3 linked regions of the Daphnia pulex genome follow. Each later gene encodes a partner of the first gene's protein in a complex. Links are inferred from orthologs where the notes say so. Each region holds a gene or a part of one and is shown in the gene's direction. Other genes may lie near its edges.

Region 1 (6,830 bases):
GAGCAGTCTGGAGATCCCAAATTTTTATTTTACACGAATTTTCGCAGCCAACGATGTATTTATTTGAAACAAGCCTAATTGAATGAATAAATTGATTAAATATGTATCAGACATCGAATTTTATTTAATATTTAATGTAAAATACCGGATCGAAGCGAGAGTTTCACGATGGGGAATTTTGACAATACATTGTCCCGTAACTACATCCCAAATTCTATTTTAAGAAAGGGCCAAATTATTCTGGTTAATGTTTTAAAATGTATGAATTTGAACGTGGTTACCTAATCGATTTTCCCCGGTCACCAGGGCCAGTAACTACCAATCCGTTCGCATAGTGGAAGCCAGAAGGGATGTCTTTGGAATTTAACTTGATAACGGATTTTATTTCAAAAGATGTCGTACTCCGAATTTCAACAGTCACATCTTCTGATAGTGACTGATAGTGTAAAAAAAAAATTACGGTGTAGATTTCGTCCACGAAAAGTCCCCACATAATTCCGGGTCCCACAATGACTGTCCTATGTAGTATTACTACTTCTTCACCCATGAATGGTGATAAGCATCTCAAAGTGAGAATCCAAGATAGACCTATTAATGACTTTAAGAAGGAAATTTGAATTAAATTAGCTTGAGCAAGCAAAATTGCAATAACTTTTCTTTACCCTAGTGTAACAGGATAACAGAAGGTTTTTCCATAGACTCAGTCCGCATTCTGAATGATATAATGATTCTTCGTCGTTTTCTTCTTCTTCTTGAATGCCACAGGAATCCATATCTATCACGTAAAGCTAGAGAAATAAAGCATACATTTCATTAAACTTGATGAAAAAGCATTAATTTTATATTGCAAATAATATACTAGATCCCTAGTTTTCGTATCCCAGACACATATTTCCGGATGGTGAATAAATGAAGCCACAATGAAGCTGTCGTTGATTTTAACGGATTTCAAAACCGGTATAATTTCGTTGAACTGAATTTGCATGATCGGGATTTCAAGAACCTAAAATATAAAAAATTATAACACATAAATTAAAAAAAACTATCAAATACCATATTCTATGGGTCTTTAATCAGAAACATACATCTTCGATTTCAAGGGTCCATCTATTTCGTATAACAATTCTGCGATCTGGCTGTACTCTGACAATCCAATCTCCATTCAAGTCATAATAGTCTGCTGAATTATAAAAAGTTGATAAATTATGGGAAATGCATCCAAATTCACTTTTGCGTTCAGAGTATTTCATCTTCTTCCAATTTGATTCAAGCACCTATTATCAAAGAAAACTTGATAAAGATGATAAAAAGATGACAAAATAAAATGTTAGACCTGTAATTCAACTTCAATTAAACAGCAAATTTTACGATAGTATTCAGCAGAGTCATCTTGAAAATCCAAACTTTTATGCTTCATTCCTTTCAAGGCAACAAACATATCCTTCCAGCATGGAAAGAGACGCATCTGGATACATAGCAAAATTATATTATAACATGGTTTGATACAACATAATAATCACTGCCATAATAAGCCTACTTACATTTCTACCGAGTAATGTTTTCCAGATTTTCCCTTCCAACAAAGCTTCTTGCCAAACGACGGATACCAACTCAGCCCGTCGAAGACAATAATAATCCAAATATCCAAAAATTTGATCCAATATGTGCTCTAGACCTCGCCCTGGAAACGTATAATAAGAAATAATAAAGTATACGAAAATCCCATTTTGATACTGTATTGCTTACGATGAAGGTTTTCAATCAAGTCCCACTCAATCATAACTGTAACAGAGTAAATCTGATTCGAGTGAATCTGAATTTGTTTACACTAAGAAATCAGTAGCCTAACCACAAATTCACAACTAACACAAACAAGTTGTTTGAATTTTTCACACATGTGATACCATGCAAGTCGTCTGCTTTGATAGAAAGCCGGAATGCTAAGTTGCAAAACTGCTGAGAAAGAAAATTTATACGGAATATTGAAATTGAGCTAATTAAACTAATAGAGGATAAAACGAAAGTGGGAAATTTAACGATTAAACTCACTTATCCTCAGTTTTGGAACTAACCATTTTGCCAACTTCTAGATCTAGACTCCTTTGATTTAGCGCGGGCGGACGGACGGCGGCGCGGGCCCAGATCACTCAGAAATTACCTATTGTTTTCTTCTCAAAGTAACTAAGTTAATAATAAATTTATCTAACTAGATAAATATAACAAATTTGAATAAGCTAAACAACAAAGCTAGTTTTAGACCGCATCCGCCTATCCCAATTTCCCCACCTTTTTTCACAGGAAGAGTTTCAAAGCTTGGCAACTCAGCATCCGTTACCGGTCTATAACTATAAGTGTTTTTGCTGTAATTTTTTTGTTTTTTTGTTTATTATAATGTCGTTATAATTAACGGCCGAGATTTTTACTGATGTATTAGTTATTCAATTACATCAATTCATTTACCCTTTGATATAATATTGGCTGTGGAAAATGAGATGGCGGCGCCACTTGACTCGCCTATCAAGGGTTCGCTGTTTAATTAATCGAGGGAAATTTAATTTCTATTAAAATTGTTTTTCAAATTTTTTCTATTGACTATTACTAAACACTAGTTTGATGAACGATAATAGCCTCCTACTTACCACTCAAATGCTCAATCAAACATTGCTTATCAGGGGCACGGCAGATAGAAAAGAGATGCGCCCTCTGGATTAGTTTATGGCATAAAAAACGCACTAAGTCACTTGAGGCTTTGAGCAGCACATACACTTGCTTACAGTGAAGCAGTCATTCCATTGTTATCGAGTCTCTTTTCCAAACGATCTAGACTCATCGTGTAGCCATTACTTGTTCCATCTTCCCATCAGTGTCAAACTTTAACACAGGAAAATGCAGTCACTTCAAAATCAACAAATTGCAGGAGGTATTGTTCTAAAGATACCTGATCAACTTTCATCTTTCAGTAAGTTAATGTCAAAGCAAGTTTCTAGTATCTTGCCCCATTTGTTTTGGAACATTGGAAGGGCAGAGATTAGATCAAACACGCGATAACAGGATGATGTTTTTACCGTCTATTTTTTTCAATTTTTCAAAAAAGTTATACATTCATAAACACATACCAAACATTTCTGTCAAAAAATTTTATTTCAAAATTTGCATTGATAATATACTAACTTTGTTGTTCATTCTTAAGGTTTGGCTGAATTAGCCCACAGAGAATACCAGGCAGGTGATTATGAAAATGCTGAACGTCACTGTATGCAGCTGTGGCGTCAAGATCCAACAAACACTGGAGTCCTTCTACTCCTATCTTCAATACACTTCCAATGTAGACGCTACGACAAGTAATATTTTACACATTTTGTACAGATTTCAATGTTTACAATTGTATTCTCGTTTCAGGTCTGCTCAATTTTCTACATATGGTAAGGAATTAAGGATATTTTGCAGAATTAATGCTGAGTTTTGTACTAATCTAAAAGTTCTTCCCTTCTAGCAATCAAGCAAAATCCACTATTAGCTGAAGGTAGTATTAAATTGTATTTGTTTTTGGTTTATGCACAATTTCTATAACTTTTCTTCTGTTTACAGCATATTCAAATCTTGGAAATGTTTTTAAAGAACGTGGTCAATTGGCTGAAGCACTTGATAATTATCGTCATGCAGTTAGACTGAAGCCTGATTTCATAGATGGTTATATTAATCTGGCTGCTGCCTTAGTTGCTGCTGGAGATATGGAAGGAGCAGTCCAAGCATATGTCTCAGCATTGCAGTATAATCCAGTATGTTGATTACTTTTGTTTTATTGAGTGCCTTTACTTATTAAGGATCAATCTTTTTAGGATCTTTACTGTGTCCGTAGTGACCTAGGGAACTTGCTTAAAGCTCTTGGAAGATTGGATGAGGCCAAGGTAAAGAAATCCAGTAATTGATCAGAAATATGGGATGCTCAGCTCATTTGTTTAATGTTCATATACAATGTGCTTCAGATTATTATTATTGTGTAGTACTATTGTTGATAATCATCACATGATAATGGCCCCAAAGTGGAATTTTAAATTTTTAGGTGGAAAAGACTTAGGACGTAATGTCTGTGATATGTTCATCCCGACACTCCATAAACTTTCTTGATATCTATAGGAAATGTGGTGGAAAATTCTGCAGTAATCCATTCTTCTGTTCAACGATTATGTTAATAGTTTCAGTTTTCAGCATATTTTCATCGAGATTTTCACGGAGAACCAACATATCGAAAATTTGTATGTGCATCTTCTGCTCCGAGCCATTTTTCATATGCTCCTCCTAAACCTTCTGCCTACCACATAGGATATATCCATAGGTTCTATCCAGCTAGACGTCTAAATGCAGAAAGCTAACCTCGTGGTGGATTCTACTTGCTCTTTTCGGTAGGCGGTAAGTGCAGCCGCGATGAAAACAACTCTAAACGCGCTCAAGCTCCCATAGCATGCGAAATTATTCGCCGCACCAGCCGCTATCCCTTACCCATGCTCCCTTGCGATTGCGCGCGCGCGACCCTTTACCCTTGTCAGCTAACAGCAGCGCATTGCCCATGATAAGTGTAATCTCCAGTGTAAGCCACCCAGAATATGGGGCTTACTAATATTCGAAACACTGATTAATAATCATAATTTGACATTCTTCAACATTTAACTGGGAAAATAATTTTATCCGTATTTTACTTCATATGTGGAAAGGCTTGCTATTTGAAAGCAATTGAGACTCGGGGTGATTTTGCAGTGGCGTGGTCCAATCTTGGTAATGCGTTTTAGTCAATTATTCAGAAGTTGTAAAATGCTAATTATCTATGCGTGTTTGTTTTCTCACGAAACGTAGGATGTGTGTTTAACGCGCAAGGGGACATTTGGCTAGCCATTCATCATTTCGAAAAGGCTGTCACTTTGGACCCCAACTTTCTTGATGGTAAAATACTTTTAACATTTGAAAATGTGAATTTACCTCATTTAACCATCATATTTCTTTTTACAGCTTACATAAACTTGGGCAATGTTCTGAAAGAAGCTAGGATTTTCGACAGGTAAGATTTAATAATATTATGATGTCGAAGTTCTTATATCGATAGGTTAAATAGTGTGAGGGATGGAAATAGATATTTTAAGAGATGTTGTTTATGGACGAGAAAAAAGTTGTTAAGAATGTTGTTAGTTTCGGTGATTGTAAATTTCTCGTCTCGTGCGTTTGTAGCTTGCGTCATTTCGAGTTGGCTCGTATGTGCTCTTCTTTTTTTTTATTTTCCTCTCTTGGTTTGCCACTGTCTTGCGAAAAAAAAAAATGCACAGGAAACGTGCCCTCATTTCGGTAGGACCCTTCTCCTTCTCCCACCCAAACATCACCTCCGACGTATTTATTTTTTATTTCTATCATTGAGGACTCTCCAGCCAGTTTTTTATTCTGAATGATGATCATAGTATTTATGATAACGATAGCTATGTCCAAGTTTCGTATTCGCGATCAGAAAATTATTTTTTAACTTTAGCGTTAATTTTGTGTTAAATTTTCAAATTATTTGTGCTAATTCTGGTTGTGCTTTTATTTTTTAGTTTATTTTTTATTAATGGGGAGGAGGAGGGTGGTAGTTAGAGTGTTAAGGGGCGGGGTGACCAGTCTACCGTAGATGATGTGGGGAAAGTTGAGTAATCGAAGGGACTGCGCACGCTCATTCCGATCGGTTACGCTCCACTCACGGGAGGTGGGATAAAAATGGCTTGGGCATCCTTGACGAGACACCAGTTGCCTAGCTTGAATCGTTAGGTTCGTCATGAAATTTTTTACATCTCCAGACACGTTCACTTATTGTTGAAAACATTTACCTGTCAACTAATTGTTTGACCAAAGTCAGAGTCTTCTTTCTTGTGATGCCCGTGTAGTATTCCTTTAGAATTCATAGTAACTCTGTAACGTTGGGCAAAGGTCATGCCCACGTTATCCAAATGGACTACCAGTGTGTGGTTATCTACACGATTGTCAACATTTCGGCTGATGAAAGTCGTTACCACTCTCTAGCTCAATCAGTGAATGACAGTAGTCTGCGCAGTGGATGTTTGGTTTGCGTGGTTTCTCGTCTTAAACGGTATGTCGATCTATTTGATGCAGTATAGTGTTTACAACATTCGCATGCGAACGAGGAGTGTCCTCCTTGCTGTTTTCTGCGATGACAGTGAAGAGAAGGATATCTAGTATGTAGTGCTATCTCTTCTTTCAACGCACGATATCGATTGATTCGCTCGAAACAACGAGGGGTAGGACAAAGGAAGTGCGCTGGAATCTGCGCGTCTCAACACAAGCGTCGGCAGACTAACCGAGTTGACAATTTTAGCCAGTGGGCATCTAAAATAATGTTAAAAATAGCTTTAAAATAAACTCTGGCCAGTGTTGGAGACTTATTTTGCCAATGTTTATTACTTGGCTGGTTTTACTTCCCTGTCGTTTAAATATTTGTAGAAGGGATATAAGTCTTAAGGTTTTTTTTTTTTTTTTATTATTGCAGGGCCGTTGCAGCATACTTAAGGGCGCTAAATCTTAGTCCTAACCATGCCGTCGTTCACGGAAATATGGCCTGTGTGTACTACGAGCAGGTAATTGAAAACTTAAATGTGATAAAAAAATGTAAATGCCTAAAGGCTTCTTTTTACTTGCTGCTTTATGGTACACTTTAGGGTCTTATCGACCTTGCCATTGATACCTACCGACGAGCAATTGAATTGCAACCGCATTTCCCGGACGGTAACTTGAATATTAAACGTTACTCTTAAATCTGTTATCACATTTCTACGTTTTTCTTTTCAGCGTACTGT
Region 2 (6,673 bases), on another chromosome or scaffold:
TCTCTCTCTCTATTCTTCTCTTCCTCCTCCCAGTTGCATTTAAAAAATTACTAGTTAATATTAATATTTAGTTTTGTATATTCATTATTACATCACACGTATAGAACTATACAGTACACCGCTGTTTGTTGTTGAATCAATATTTCTTTTCTTGGTTAATATCTCGGGGACGCGCTCCTTTTTTTTTTAATTTCTCCTTTCCTTCATTTGCCTCTGTGTGTTATACATATGCATATAATAACTATTAAAAATATCGCGCGTAATTTGTTTCATTTTTGTGAGAAAAATTGTTGGTTCATTTTTTTTTCTGGGAAAAATTTAATTTTTTCGGAATTGTTTCAACCCACACAATTGAGGAAACGAAATCAAGGGGAAAAAAAACCAGTATACATAATTAATAACGTTTTTAATTATCATGAAATCAATCTTTCTACTCTTTCTTCATGGCTTTCGATGTTTTGCCACGTGATGTAATTCATTAACTATCAGCGTGTGTGTGTGTGTGTAATCTCCAATTTTGTGTTTGAGTGTGAATTTGTAAGAAAAATTTCAAAAAAAAAAAAACCTGTTGTACTAAAAAAAAATATTATATATTCATCAGCTGACTGTGGGCTAGCTTTAAAAAAATCTATATAAAAACTATTAAAAAAAAATTGTTACAAACAAAACTGATGTACCAGAGCGTTCGTGTTCCTTTTGTTTTCTAAAAAAAAAAAATTGTAGTTTTTCAACAACAAGAAAAAACCGGTTCTCTCATCACACACACACACAAAATCTGCTTTTTTTATTTTTTTTTTCTTCTCCAAAAATCTCGTGTGAAAATTTAAAAAATGACTTTTTTTTTTATTTGGAAAAGAGGAAAATGATTTTGATTGTTCACGATTTAACCCTCTCTCCTTATCCTCCTCCTATATATAGAAATGTTTAAATTTTTTTTTTCTATTGTATTTTTTACCGGGGTGATGATATATGATGTTCGTCTGGTTGATATACCAATACAAAACAAAAAAAAGTTGTTTGACAGAAAATTAAAACAAAAAAAGAAAACTTGTTTTTATTGATTCAATTAAAAAATTTTAGAGGCTCCACATGAATAAGATTTAGCCGAGGGCTGAATTTCTCCCACCCTGCTATTTTTAATCATTTATCGGCTGCTATAAAGAGAGATAGGTGAAAAGGTGCACACATCGTGACAAGTTGTTGTGCAGGTGATCATGTCGCTTTACCTCATCCTGGCAGCCTGCTGGTTGTTGCTATCAGATCTCCAAGGATTGTCGTCGAAGGAATCCTGTTTGGGTGGCCGATCGCTGCGAGGATTGATTGAATTACCATCCCGGCATTATAATCACGACAGCAACAATATTACCACAGTTTCGTGTTGCGACGACCCAGTCGTCTGTCATGGCGGATTGGCCCTGAGAAATGAACAAGTCGAGGCTTCGTTGATTATCAACCAGCAGCCCCTTGGCCATTTCGACCTTCAACACCAATACGCCCAGCAACTTGTTCAATCGAACGACCGTGATGCAGCAGCAGCAGCAGCTCTGCAGCAACGCCATAAAAGGTAAACCTTTTTTTACCGCGTTTTCTCGGTGTGCACCTATAAATGTATATATACACGCCTTTTTTAAAAAACATTTGACTTTGTGTGGCACAAGAAACATTTATCCCCGCTTTTATTTTTATGGATTTTTATTATTATTTTTTAAAAGATCTGTTATTAATGGCGGACGCTGCGCTGGAAATAAAATGGCATGTCTGCCCATTCAAGTTCGTTGCTGCCCTGCCAACATGTCCGTATTTTTCCCCATTTCAGCTATTTCGGCCTTGACGGGTATATATCTCGGTTCAATTATTCTTATTTCATGCTGTAAAAAGAAAGAAAAAACACACGACTGATTTTCAGGGGAGCGAGTCCACGTGATTCAACTGCCGCCATTAATTTTGCAGCCCGTAATTTATGGCCGTTGTGAAACAGAGCAGAGCTCCATTTTCGACGCCGAATGCCAACAGGTTGATAAATGATAGGACGCCAATTGATGTGGGCATATTTCTATTGATCATTTATTATTTAAAAAATAGGAATTGACACCGGAAATGATGCACGTCGGTCGAGTCGATCCCGAAACCAGCGACTTGGAATTGTCCAGAGAACCGGTCATGGTGGAAAGTGGCTGCTCGTGTCGCTTCAATCGCCAGCCTCTTGACATTATCGGTCAGTCTAAAACATTTGATGTTGATCACATCGTTTTTTTTACCGTTTGAAAAAAAAATAAAACGTGATTATTTTAACAGATGGCATAGTCATGGACGAAACGATGACTTCATTCATAGATCTCTGGAGCGACTGAATTACAATTTTGAACTTTCACGTTTTTTGTTGTTTGTCGTTTATTATTGGGGAGAGAGAGAAAATAGACTATTTTGTTATGTTTCCGATTTCTTTTTCCGTGTAGCATTATTTATTAATACGACGTGAAAGTCGGTCAGCGTCGCGCATTGTTATCAGCTCGAGTGTGAGAGTGACCGCAAAAATAAAAACAGCTGGGAGAGAAAGCAGATCCACGTCGTTTGTCTAGATTGTTTTTTAATGGCGGGTTACCAGGGTTCGGGAACAAAAAGGCCGTTTCTTTACACAATATAAAATATAATACGTGTCACGTCCTCAATCCGTTAAAAAACCGTAACCGTTTACGACCAGCGTCAGCCATCTAACGGTCAACTAATGAAACTCGTGATCACGTGCGCAGAACAAATTGTCAGGAGTAGCGCCACTTGTGATTGTGTTTTTCCGCCATCACCAAGGCAGCGTTTCTTTTTATTTCCGTGTGTGTGTTGTTGATTGCATCATCTTAGATCTCATTAACACTACTACTCTCCAACGTGGTGTTTTTATTGAATATATTATGGCTTTGTACGGCAATCAGGGACCATCGTCTTCCCAATACTACAATCCAAGTCAACCAACATGTCACAACACACTGTACAATTGCTCTCAACCGTGCGTTGAAGGCTTCTCTTATTGCCTCGATCACATTTCGGAAGATCGAAATGCTCCCTACAGATCGTGCACTTTTGTTTTCTCAAATGGTAAAAGATGTGCCACCAATGTTCTCAAGGGTGAAAGGAGAGACGGGTATGAAAGTGAAGTTTGTGGTTTTCTGTCACATGTTTGATGCTAATCGTTGATGTTGTTTAGGTTGTGCCAGGATCACGCCAAGAGATCGGCCCTGTGCAAAATGAAAACACTCAGGAAGAGGCAGCCCCCAGAATCCCTTGAAACTCTCATAGATGATCTGCAGCACTACAGTGAAGCTGGAAATGAAGAGAAGGCCACTGGAACGCTCAGTTTAATCGAAAAGCTGTCCCTGAATGCTTCCACACAAAAACTGCAAGATTATGCAAGTGAATCAGATAGTGAAGATGAACTACCAACTGCAGAGCAAACCATCAGACAAGAGGATGACTCTGATGCAGAGAGTATTGACAGCGACCAAGATGATCCCTTGAGGTAAAATGCATGTTTTTAATAAGGCCCCAGTCAAATTATCTATAATGACTCATGATTCACTTGCAGGCATGCTGGTGTCTTTACTCCTGAAGAAGTGGTTTTGCTAACCCGCGACAAACTCATCAAATTGCAAGCGCTGTACCTTGACCAATTTAAGCGGTTGCATCACCAATTAAAGTGTGCACGAAGACGTTATCTCAATGGAGTAAAAAGAGAAAAGGAGAACGGAGGTAATAATCCATTCAACTTGATTTGAATTATGTTCCATTCAACTCCTTTTTTTTCGTTTACCAAAGTTGCAAGTGCTCCTTACCCGGATACGCCGTCAGAACGCAGGGCTGTGGCAAAGTTACGAAGTTTACGTCGTTTCCAGCGACATCGAGGCTCTGAGGCATTGCTGCATCATCAATTACAGGAGAAACGCCTCCAAGTAAATTATACTCTTTAACAATTTGTGTGTAATTGATACGAATTCAGTTCCCTCCTATCAGGTCACACAGGGAGTCAATTACAAAGCTCCACCTACCCCCAAGTGTTCCTTCGTCGACTGTGGTATCAAGTGCACAAACCCTGCTGTTCCGCTTACGAAGCATTGCACAAAACACGTTCTCAATGTAAAGATTTTGCCATACCTCAAATTATTCGATTAATTGCTATTGTGATTCATTCGATTAGGATTCGTCGCAAATGTTATTCCGCCCATGTGGGGCTATATTTCACGATAACGAATGCAAGGAACCCGTCATCAATTTCAGCGAGAATACTAGATGTGTCTATCACACAATGATGCCACCAATGATGCTTGTTGAGCAGGTATGTAATTAACCGGATTTTGTTCCAACAAAATAGTTTTTTTTTTCTAAATTATACGTATTATATTTTCAGGACATCTGCGTTGCGTCGCCACTAATTAGCGTCGATGACGAAATAGAGAAGGTGGAAGTGAAAATAGAAGTCGACGACGCTGGACAAACTTGCGGTTAATTGTTTCTATATTTCCCGGGTTACTATTTACAGTTCTCTACACGCTGTAAGGCCATTTCCGTAAACGTTTTGAAACGGTAGAACTTAAATAATAGAACGCTGCTCTGAAAGTTAAAATGAATGGTTGAGAGTGAAATATAAACTTGTGTGAACATAAGCGTAAAATCGTTGGACTGTTGGATAGTTGCTTGGAAAGACTATTCAAAATTGGGCAGTTGAAATCCTGAAAAGTAGCGATGGTGTAAGGCTTGTCTAGCAGATAACCTCTTGTTCGGATCGTATAACATAAGTTTCTGTTTAAGTAAAATTAAAGAATTCATTGGTTTGGTTGCGAACGATAACTTTTTTGTAGAAATGTAAACAAACCATCAGAAGATTGAGGCCATCGCTATCTAATCTTGGAAACATTTCTTCAAAACTGGAACCCGACCATTTGGGGAAAGAAGGCTTAAAATCGGGAAGCTGAGATACTCCTGGCCAGCAGGTCTCGTCAGGTGTCCCCATCGTTCGGAAAATGCGGAAAAGTTGATCAATTTCCGAGTCACCAGGAAACAAGGCAGTACGACCCTTAAGCTAAGGAAATGATTGAATTAATTTTACTTTAAAAAATGTACTGATGAGAAAGCTATTACCATTTCCGCAAAGATACAGCCGATCGACCAGATATCAACAGAGGTAGTGTAGATCTTTGCTCCCAGCAAAACTTCAGGGGCTTTGTACCAAAGAGTAACAACCTCATGTGTGTAGGAGCGTAAAGGGAGACCAAATGCTCTAGCAAGACCAAAATCTGCCAGCTTTAACAGACCATTTTTGTTCACCAAGAGATTCTGTGGTTTCAAGTCCCTGTGAAGTACCCTGTGAGAGTGACAGAAAGCAATACCCTTCAGCATCTGCCAGAGGAAGCTCTTGACTGCTTTGGGTTCCAGACCACATGGCATCGAATCCAACAGTTTCTGCACCAATAAAATTGTGTTAGCTCAGTGAAAATCAAATGTGCAACTTTTAACAACAACCTTCAGATCTTGGTTTAGATATTCAAAGACAAGGTAAATCTTTTTCTCAACATGGACTACATCAAGCAGTTTTACAACATGTGGATGGTCAAGTTCTTTTAAGACAGTAATTTCTCTTATGGCAGTGCTGGGCACTCCTTCTGATTCCCTGTACAACAAAAACGGTTTTGTTATTATGTAGGTTGCACCCCAATGAAAGTAATTGCCATGAGTTGTGGGTGATGTTAACGAGCTGAAAAGTTCAGATAATTGTGTCTGTGATATGTCATGAAAATTAGCACATCACAGATAAAATCATCTGAAATCAAAACTCCCAAAGCATTCTGATGACAAAAACAATGGAATTTACTTACGATTCTAAGCGAATTTTCTTGAGAGCCACAAGTTTGCCTGTTTCAATGTCTTTGGCTTTATAGACTATGCCATATGTTCCTTCACCGATCTTCTCAATCTTCTGAAATTGTTCCATTGCCTCGTGCATTTTGCCCAGCGCCCAGCACAAAGCACATTCGAACTCAAAAATGTGATGTAGACACTGATTACTCTTGATGAGCTGGCTCACTAATGATTAATGAACTGGTTCTCTTCACTTGCGATTTGGGCGACAAAAGGTTTTCCCTTGTTTCCACGCTGCCGTTTCGCGCGTTTTCTTCTCATTCGATCATTCAAGCTTCCCGCTTGGAGGCCAAAAGCTCCGCCTACCGTTTATTTTTATCAATTCACGGTAATTTGACGCAATTATGATCGTTCCTAAAGTTTTTAAAACCAATTTTTTTTGTAAAATTTATTTAATAAATAGTTAATTACATTTACAGTGCAAAAAGTGTAGTATTTATAATTTTGTCTATTTTTACTCATTAGAAGCTAGCAGCATCTAGCGGTCTTGTTAAACAACGACGATTTATTTTTCGTATTTTGCCCTCTTGTCTTATCAACATCCGTGCGGGAGATCTAGTTTCAGTAGTTATACATAGAAATTTTGATTGACGTGTATTTTCAGTCCATTTAAAGTGAATCATTCTCATCTGAAATTATAGCAACGTTTAATTTAATTGAACGTAGTTGAAAACCGTGTAATTCGCCATTCAAGAAAAATAATTGCGCCTTAACGATGCTATTCAGCTTCGTCAGTGTTCCATAATAGATCCCCAGTAATATATAAGAA
Region 3 (6,830 bases), on another chromosome or scaffold:
TAAAAAAAGTAAATATTTTTGAAATGTAAAACAAAATGAGTTTGAATTTTTATTGTTGTATTTTGCAAGATCAATTATTTGTAAGTTTACATAGCACATTCAGAAATATTTTCTCACATCATGCGATTATCAGCAGGAAGAAGGTTTAAGTTGAGGAGAAAATAGAGACATGCACTTGTGATTTATCAATCAAACTTGTATTTCAGCAATCTTTCAACACATCCAGAGAAATACTTCAGAACTTTGGTGTATAGGTCGGAGCAACATAAGTAGTGGTGACATGGTCAGGTGAAATTGCTGGTGAAATACATATGAACCTCAGTTTGGTAGTACTTTGGAGCAGGGTAATACTTAAATTCCTCGATGTAGTATAGCAGGCAGCGTACGTGGTTGTGTAATAGGCGGCTTCTTCGGTGTAGTACTTGGGGGCTGCGGTGTTGTAGCTAGGTGTAACGTAGATCGTGATGTAGTAGACTGGAGCATCAGTGTGGTGTTTCAGTTCAACGTAGCACGAAAGAGCAGCTTTTTTGTGGCAAGTCGGGACTGCGTAATACTTCGCCGCCTCAGTTCTGGTTGAGTTGATCGGGGCAGAGAAGTACTTTGCCGCTTCGGTGTAGTACTCGACCACTTTGGTGGAGTAATCAGCGGGAGCCTCGGTGTAGCAGCTGGGAATAGAGAAGTAGTTAGGAGCGTCGGTGCAGTAAGTAGCTGAGAACAGAGTAATACTTAGGAGCCTCGGTGTAGTAGGATGGGGCAGCATGCGTTGTCATGTAGTAATCGGTCGCCTTGGTGGTGTAGTAACTCGGGGCAGAGTAATACTTCAGGGCGTCAGTGTAGTGACTCGGGCAGCGTAAGTTGTGGTATAAAACTCCGGTGCTTTAGTGGTGTAGTACTTGAAGACCTCGGTGCAGAAACTGGTCGTTGCGTAAGTTATGTAGGAAGGCGGTGGCGTTGCAGTTTGGTTTGCGCCATACCAAGGAGACATCGGTACACCAATGGTCGACCCACCCATCAACGATACAACACCCAACAGGAGCACGACGCCATAGTTGACTAAACAGTAAATAAATTTAAACATTATTATTAAACATTAACAGGCATATTAACACATGGAAAACAAAAATATAATTGATAAAAAACTCAATGTAAAGACAGAATATTTACCCATGGTTGCGAACTGGCAATACGGTGAAGAATGCAGATGGTGAGTGCGCTGCAGTTGTTGCCGTGTCGGATATGCTCACTCGACTGATTTTCCTTCAGTTTTTCTCTCTCCTTTTATACTATTTTTTTTCTCACCCTCACCTCTAAAGCCTTGCGGGTGTTGTACCTGCTTGATAATGATGCAAAACGTCCGTCCTCACCCAACCTCTACACCACTGCATGACACGTTTTACGTAAACGTAATGATCTCCGTGACCTTCGAGTGTGACTGTCCTTTCCTTCTGCAGTTTGACGTTGCTGGGGATGGGTCCTACAACAACCAATATCAAAATGAATACCAAATGGTTATGTAACACGTGTCGTTCTCACCCAACCTCTACACCACTGCATGACAAGTTTTACGTGCCTTTCCTTCTGCAGGTTGTCGTTGCTGGGGATGGGTCTACAACAACCAATATAAAAATGAATACTAAATTAAATGATTATCGCTTAAAACTCACTTTATACAAATTTCGAACCGTTTGAAGGACAGTCGGCTTTTTTGAAAATATTCCTCTGTCAATCTTATCCAAGTTTCGAACACATGATCAATCCATATTCATTTCATGATGTCACTGTTTGTGATGAGCAATACTGGCGCCATGAGTCAGCATAGCAGAGAGGTAGAGGGAAAATCGTGGACTGAATCCTTCAGGTCCTCGGTTTCCCGTTCTTACATATCGAACAATTTCTTGGCTGCAAACAGAAACAGGGAATGAATTCAAGCCAATACTGTAGAAGAAATTTTTAATCTGAAACCACCTTCCTACCAAACCCAGTTAGAGCCCGTCTGCCTGCGGTAGTGATTATGGCAAAGATAAAGACCACATGTAATAAAACGAAAAAGTATAACATCAACATGTAATAAAACCAAAACTCAAATTGACTACAAAATAGAACAATTTCGAATCGAAATACGAATTACTCATTAAAGCATAATGTTTACACAGTTAAACATTTAGGGATCTCAATTCTCAATAACGTTGAACAATTCAGTATTCAGGAAAAATGTGCTCAATAACGAACATAAAAGCTTTAAGAAAGGCATATTGTGCATAGCACATCAAATCCATCAAATATACAATGGAGGTTCGATCTTCCTAGTAAAAATGTTCTTTTAGCTTGGAGTTAATCAAGTCATTTTTATTATAAGTTGACTATGACCATTTCCATAAAAATTGAAAAAGAAAAAGACAAATGCACAATACTAAAATAGTGAGATTCCAGCTGACGGGGGACCTAGCTGTTGCCAAAAGAGAAAAGACGAACTACGAAAACGAACTGCTGAATTTTAAAAATCAACCTTGGCGGGAAATATTTTTGTGATAGTTTTCAATGTGAATAGCAGATGGCGAGACCACTTTTGGTAAACAAACTAGCAGAAGACGACGCTTCGTTCACTAATCATTAGCACATTAGGTACTTCACATTTCTGTTAGGACTGACGATAGTGTTAAGTGTGGTGATAAGTATAACAGAATATCTACCCTACTTTAGCTTTAATGAACTCTGCATAATACTGCAAACCTTGATTAGCCATTCTAATGTCAGCAGAAATTTCTGAAACTAAAAGTTGGACAGACGACCTACCCGTTTGCTTCTACACAGGTTTTTAAATAAAGCAAAATCTTAGTCCGATAATTGAATGTGTCTTAACTTTCTTTTTGACAGGTGTGGGGTTATCAACAAATCAGATCTATAAAGAAGATGGCTATAGAAGAGAGGCCCGTGAATGTGAAGATAGAAGTTTCCACTTCAAAATTGATGATCACACATTCCTGTATGGAGTATTCAATGGGAAAGATGGATCTTCTGTGGCAGATTTTGCTGCACAGCGCATGCCTGCAGAAATCCTTCTTGGGCAGCTCAATGATAAAACCAGCCCAGAAGCTGTGAAAGAAGTCTTAAATGAAGCTTTCCTAGCAGTAGAGCGCAGCTATTTCGAATCAATTGATGACTTACTGGCTGAGAGAGCAAATCTTTTATGTGAATTACCTGAAGGTATTGTCTTATACAGCATGACCTGACATTTACCTTCTTTACAAAAACTCTAATCTTACTATAGGAATCAAATCATATGATGCATACCAACAATTTCCGGATATTGTGAATCGACTAAGAGCTGCTAATGTTCGGTTGTCTGCGAGTGCCTCAGCTGCAGTTGCGTTAATCTTTAATGGTTGGTACCACAACAGCTTCAGTGGTTCAATACTACAAGCATTTCTATGATATTCTTGTTGGTCACTTGTATAGGTCACTTGTATGTCGCTAATGTTGGAGACTGCCGAGCTTTATTATGTAAAATCGACGCAGAAGGAGTTTTGAGAGTAATGCAGCTAACGGTAGATCATGATTTGACCAACGAGGATGAAGTGCTCCGTCTGTCGCATATGGGACTTGAAGTGGAAAAACTTCAAAGTGATTCAATTATTTTTCTTTTTTAATCTCAGATAATTAATTGATTCAAAATGATTTGTGCAGATTTGCCGAGAAAAGGAAGTCATTTAACGACTCGTTGCTTGGGAAATTATACTGTTAAAGGAGGCTACAAAGATTTCGATCTCTTCAGTGCAGCTAAAGCGGAACCTGTTATTGCTGATGCTGAAATCATAGGACCTATTAATCTGGATGAGTCTTGCAGGTAAAAAAAAAAACTACGACAATTATCTAATTCCGTAACAACCATAGCCATCTACTGTTTTTCTCTTTATTAAAGGTTTTTACTGTTAACGACTCAAGGATTGTACGGAGCGTTAGAAGAAGCGACAAATAGCGAACAGGCTAACAAAGAAATTGCTCAGATTGTTGTGGAACAATTTGGATCCCAAAGCACTATAACGGGTGTAGCTCAAGGTGTTGTCGATCGAATCGCACGTATTCATCACGATCATTATATGGAAGTATGGAAGTTTACTACTCTTGTCTTGGGCAAAGCTAATTCTGATTTTCTTGGCATGAAATAGGACCCAAATCATGTCACTTGCTGTCAACGAGATGACATAACATTACTGATTCGAAATTTCAACTTTCAACTGTCTGCTCCACTGAGTGCAAGTAGCACACTACGTAGTTATAATACTTCCCTCAATGCATACAGCAATGATTCCTCAACGATGGGATTGAAATTTGACACTCAGCTAAACACACTGTCTTCTACAGTTGGCAATAGTATTAGTGAAACGCTTACTGAGGCTTCTATTACATCTTCAACAGAGAGTTCAGAGCAAATCAAGTCAAATCAATCTCAGAATATGCTCCTTGATGAAGATGGGAGGATTGGTCCCTACGTGGATTTCACCAACTTTTATCAAGCTGTCAGAAAAGCAAAAGATGAAGGCACGATTCCTGAGGATGCGATATACTAATTTATAAGTGTTTGGCTTATAATACTGATATGTACAGGCGAAATTACCCCAATAAAATTAACTTAAGATTTACCTTGATTTGCGAATACTGTCGAGTTTGCTGAAGTCTTTTCACAGTTGAAGATTCGAGGAATTATAGAAATGTTATGAATTCAGTGGACTAATTGATTTGATAACATCTTTTCGGAAAACACTTTTTGCTTCGTCACACGACACGAGGTCTGAACACACTGAGTGATTTAAATTTTCTGAGAGCAGTGAATCAGTAAATGTTTTTGCTGCAACAATGCCAGACATTTCTTTTTCAGTGTAATCATTTTCCGTGTCACATTCTGAGACCGCCTAAAGCAAATTCTTGTAAACCGCAGTATAAATTTCTTAGAGACTTTTATTAATACTTTCGTAATAATAAATAATTTGTGAAAAATGAATTACGGATGAACGGCGTTCAGCGTTCTCCCTCGAGTTTGACGATTTTATACCAGCTCCTAGTGCTGCTCTGTCGGAGGATGCCATTTTCTTCCAGGAATTTGACACGAGCGGCTATACCCTTAATAATGACACCGCATATCGTCCTGCTACCACAGTCAACTGGAATCTGGGAATTTGACCAATAAGACGCAAACCACATTCTATACTCCACGACTCAACGACGAGAAATGAATAAACCTCATTGAAGAAGACTTCATCTACACAAGTTTGAAGGAAACTAAATGATTTCGTTTCAACTGGCAAAGTGGAGAGAGAAAGTCTAAGCTGACGAAGCGAGATGGCAATCAATTTATGGAAAATTCCCGATCAAAACCCCATAGTCGGCAATCTCATGCAAATCTGACGAGTGACGACTGTGCGTGCGTACGAACGGACGTGAGTGGATAGTTGGCGAATAACCTTTCTCCAACTAGAGAAGAGAAAGAAGCGTCAGTGACTATTCGGGCCCATACGATTTCATACTGTTCATAGTTTCATACCAAGGGAACGACGTCAGGCCTTTTTAATCTTCCCTTTTTGACAGGGAATCGATGCTGTCTGGGCGGAAGAATAATCAACCCGCATCGCGCTGTCGCGTTCGTTCTCTTTATCGTGAGCGACTCATCACCGTGTGGCTTGATAATACCCGAAAGAAGATTTTCCTTGCATAAAAAAATAAAACACGATTCCGCGCAACACTCCCTCCGGCTCAACCGTGAGATCGTGCTCCGGCAGCCGCTCAAACAGCTCAATAGCAGCAATGTCCTCTTTTTTCTTCTTCTTCTTTTTTCTCTTTATTATTTTCAAATAAAGGGAGAGAAAAATAACCCCAACCTGGATGAGGACGTACTGCTGTGCACTACGTTATAAAGGCATTGACTTTATGACGTGGCTTTAGCGTCGTTAAGCCGCAAGGGTTGCTCAATGAAGAAAACAAAAAGTAGTACTGTCAGCAGTGGCAGAATTTTTACGGAATGAAAGTTTTATTACAAACATTTTCTTTTTCCTCCTTTCGTCCGTCTCCACTCTCCAGCCGCCCCCACACACAAAAAAGAAGAAACGAAAACCCAAAGAACAAATATTTACTGTATATATATATTCAAAAAGGTCACATTCACATCAGTCACGAGCAATTGCGTTACGGGATAAAAAGGGAGGAATAAAGGGGAGGGAATTGGAGATGAGGGGGTGGGGAACACACACACACTTACACACGCACACTAAGACACACACAAAATAGCAACTGAAAGTTTTACTACTTTGCAACACTCTCTTGTTTACTTTCGTACCACTCCAGGTTCTTTGCTTCACTGGGTGGAAGAAGAATAGGAAAAACAAATGGGACAGAAGAGCCAAGAACAAGAAGAAATAAATTGAAAAAAGAAATACCAAAAAATACAAAGAGGTAAAGATAAAATGATTATTAAAAAATGTAGCGCGGACTCTCTAGAAAAAAAAAAGTGTTCCGGGTCCTTTTTTTCTGCTGATGCGTCTTTTTTTTTTTTGTATTTTATTGTTTATTATTATCATTATCTAGCTTTTTCTCTTTTCTTGCATTTTCTTCCCGTGTACGAACTACGAAATCAAAAGGCAATCAGACGAAACATTTTCATTCGGCTGCGCGGCGGCAGCAGCGAAACAATGCAACCGTAGTGCCGCACTCGTCGTCGTCCTCTATCGGCCACCATTAACAAACAAAACGCGATTTTCGGTAGCCTTTTAGTCGCTTTTCTCTTTCTATAATTCTCCCATTCTTCTATTCACACTGAGGCATGTGAAGGCCATTAGAAG

Evidence for each region.
Region 2: UDP-N-acetylglucosamine--peptide N-acetylglucosaminyltransferase 110 kDa subunit-like (region 1) and KAT8 regulatory NSL complex subunit 2-like share a complex: the UniProt entries of both Homo sapiens proteins name them as parts of the NSL complex. The link is inferred for Daphnia pulex from reciprocal best matches to the Homo sapiens genes OGT and KANSL2.
Region 3: the proteins of UDP-N-acetylglucosamine--peptide N-acetylglucosaminyltransferase 110 kDa subunit-like (region 1) and TGF-beta-activated kinase 1 and MAP3K7-binding protein 1-like are in contact, whole or in part, in a crystal structure (PDB 4AY6), measured with the Homo sapiens proteins. The link is inferred for Daphnia pulex from reciprocal best matches to the Homo sapiens genes OGT and TAB1. Residues at the interface, in NP_858058.1 of Homo sapiens: Asp441, His506, His508, His509, Asn567, His568, Pro569, Gly641, Tyr642, Thr643, Lys644, Ala646, Gln849, Phe878, Pro904, Val905, Ala906, Pro907; in NP_006107.1 of Homo sapiens: Pro389, Val390, Val392, Pro393, Tyr394, Ser396, Ala397, Gln398, Ser399.

Annotation. Positions count from the first base shown.
Region 1 is NC_060021.1:543,755-550,584, forward strand, and holds the start of UDP-N-acetylglucosamine--peptide N-acetylglucosaminyltransferase 110 kDa subunit-like, read left to right. Parts: upstream 1-2,739; 5' UTR 2,740-2,886; coding exon 2,887-2,959; intron 2,960-3,190; coding exon 3,191-3,341; intron 3,342-3,399; coding exon 3,400-3,422; intron 3,423-3,493; coding exon 3,494-3,523; intron 3,524-3,588; coding exon 3,589-3,779; intron 3,780-3,839; coding exon 3,840-3,908; intron 3,909-4,712; coding exon 4,713-4,773; intron 4,774-4,851; coding exon 4,852-4,938; intron 4,939-5,004; coding exon 5,005-5,053; intron 5,054-5,699; exon of another isoform or gene 5,700-5,966; coding exon of another isoform or gene 5,967-6,106; intron 6,107-6,523; coding exon 6,524-6,611; intron 6,612-6,692; coding exon 6,693-6,759; intron 6,760-6,822; coding exon 6,823-6,830. Other genes in the region: F-box/WD repeat-containing protein 11-like, read right to left, coding at 1-74, 146-214, 282-598, 663-788, 860-1,003, 1,086-1,274, 1,334-1,465, 1,542-1,681 and 1 more. UniProt on the Homo sapiens protein: Catalyzes the transfer of a single N-acetylglucosamine from UDP-GlcNAc to a serine or threonine residue in cytoplasmic and nuclear proteins resulting in their modification with a beta-linked N-acetylglucosamine (O-GlcNAc).
Region 2 is NC_060024.1:8,825,841-8,832,513, forward strand, and holds KAT8 regulatory NSL complex subunit 2-like, read left to right. Parts: upstream 1-2,766; 5' UTR 2,767-2,906; coding exon 2,907-3,136; intron 3,137-3,199; coding exon 3,200-3,511; intron 3,512-3,577; coding exon 3,578-3,741; intron 3,742-3,807; coding exon 3,808-3,941; intron 3,942-4,002; coding exon 4,003-4,125; intron 4,126-4,186; coding exon 4,187-4,324; intron 4,325-4,396; coding exon 4,397-4,495; 3' UTR 4,496-4,652; downstream 4,653-6,673. Other genes in the region: uncharacterized protein LOC124199515, read left to right, coding at 1,215-1,564, 1,713-1,834, 1,907-2,013, 2,083-2,215, 2,296-2,351; cyclin-dependent kinase 2-like, read right to left, coding at 4,693-4,788, 4,862-5,068, 5,128-5,448, 5,509-5,656, 5,862-5,989. UniProt on the Homo sapiens protein: Non-catalytic component of the NSL histone acetyltransferase complex, a multiprotein complex that mediates histone H4 acetylation at 'Lys-5'- and 'Lys-8' (H4K5ac and H4K8ac) at transcription start sites and promotes transcription initiation.
Region 3 is NC_060020.1:5,655,932-5,662,761, reverse strand, and holds TGF-beta-activated kinase 1 and MAP3K7-binding protein 1-like, read left to right. Parts: upstream 1-2,581; 5' UTR 2,582-2,747; coding exon 2,748-2,811; intron 2,812-2,874; coding exon 2,875-3,204; intron 3,205-3,268; coding exon 3,269-3,382; intron 3,383-3,456; coding exon 3,457-3,621; intron 3,622-3,684; coding exon 3,685-3,844; intron 3,845-3,919; coding exon 3,920-4,103; intron 4,104-4,166; coding exon 4,167-4,568; 3' UTR 4,569-4,640; downstream 4,641-6,830. UniProt on the Homo sapiens protein: Key adapter protein that plays an essential role in JNK and NF-kappa-B activation and proinflammatory cytokines production in response to stimulation with TLRs and cytokines.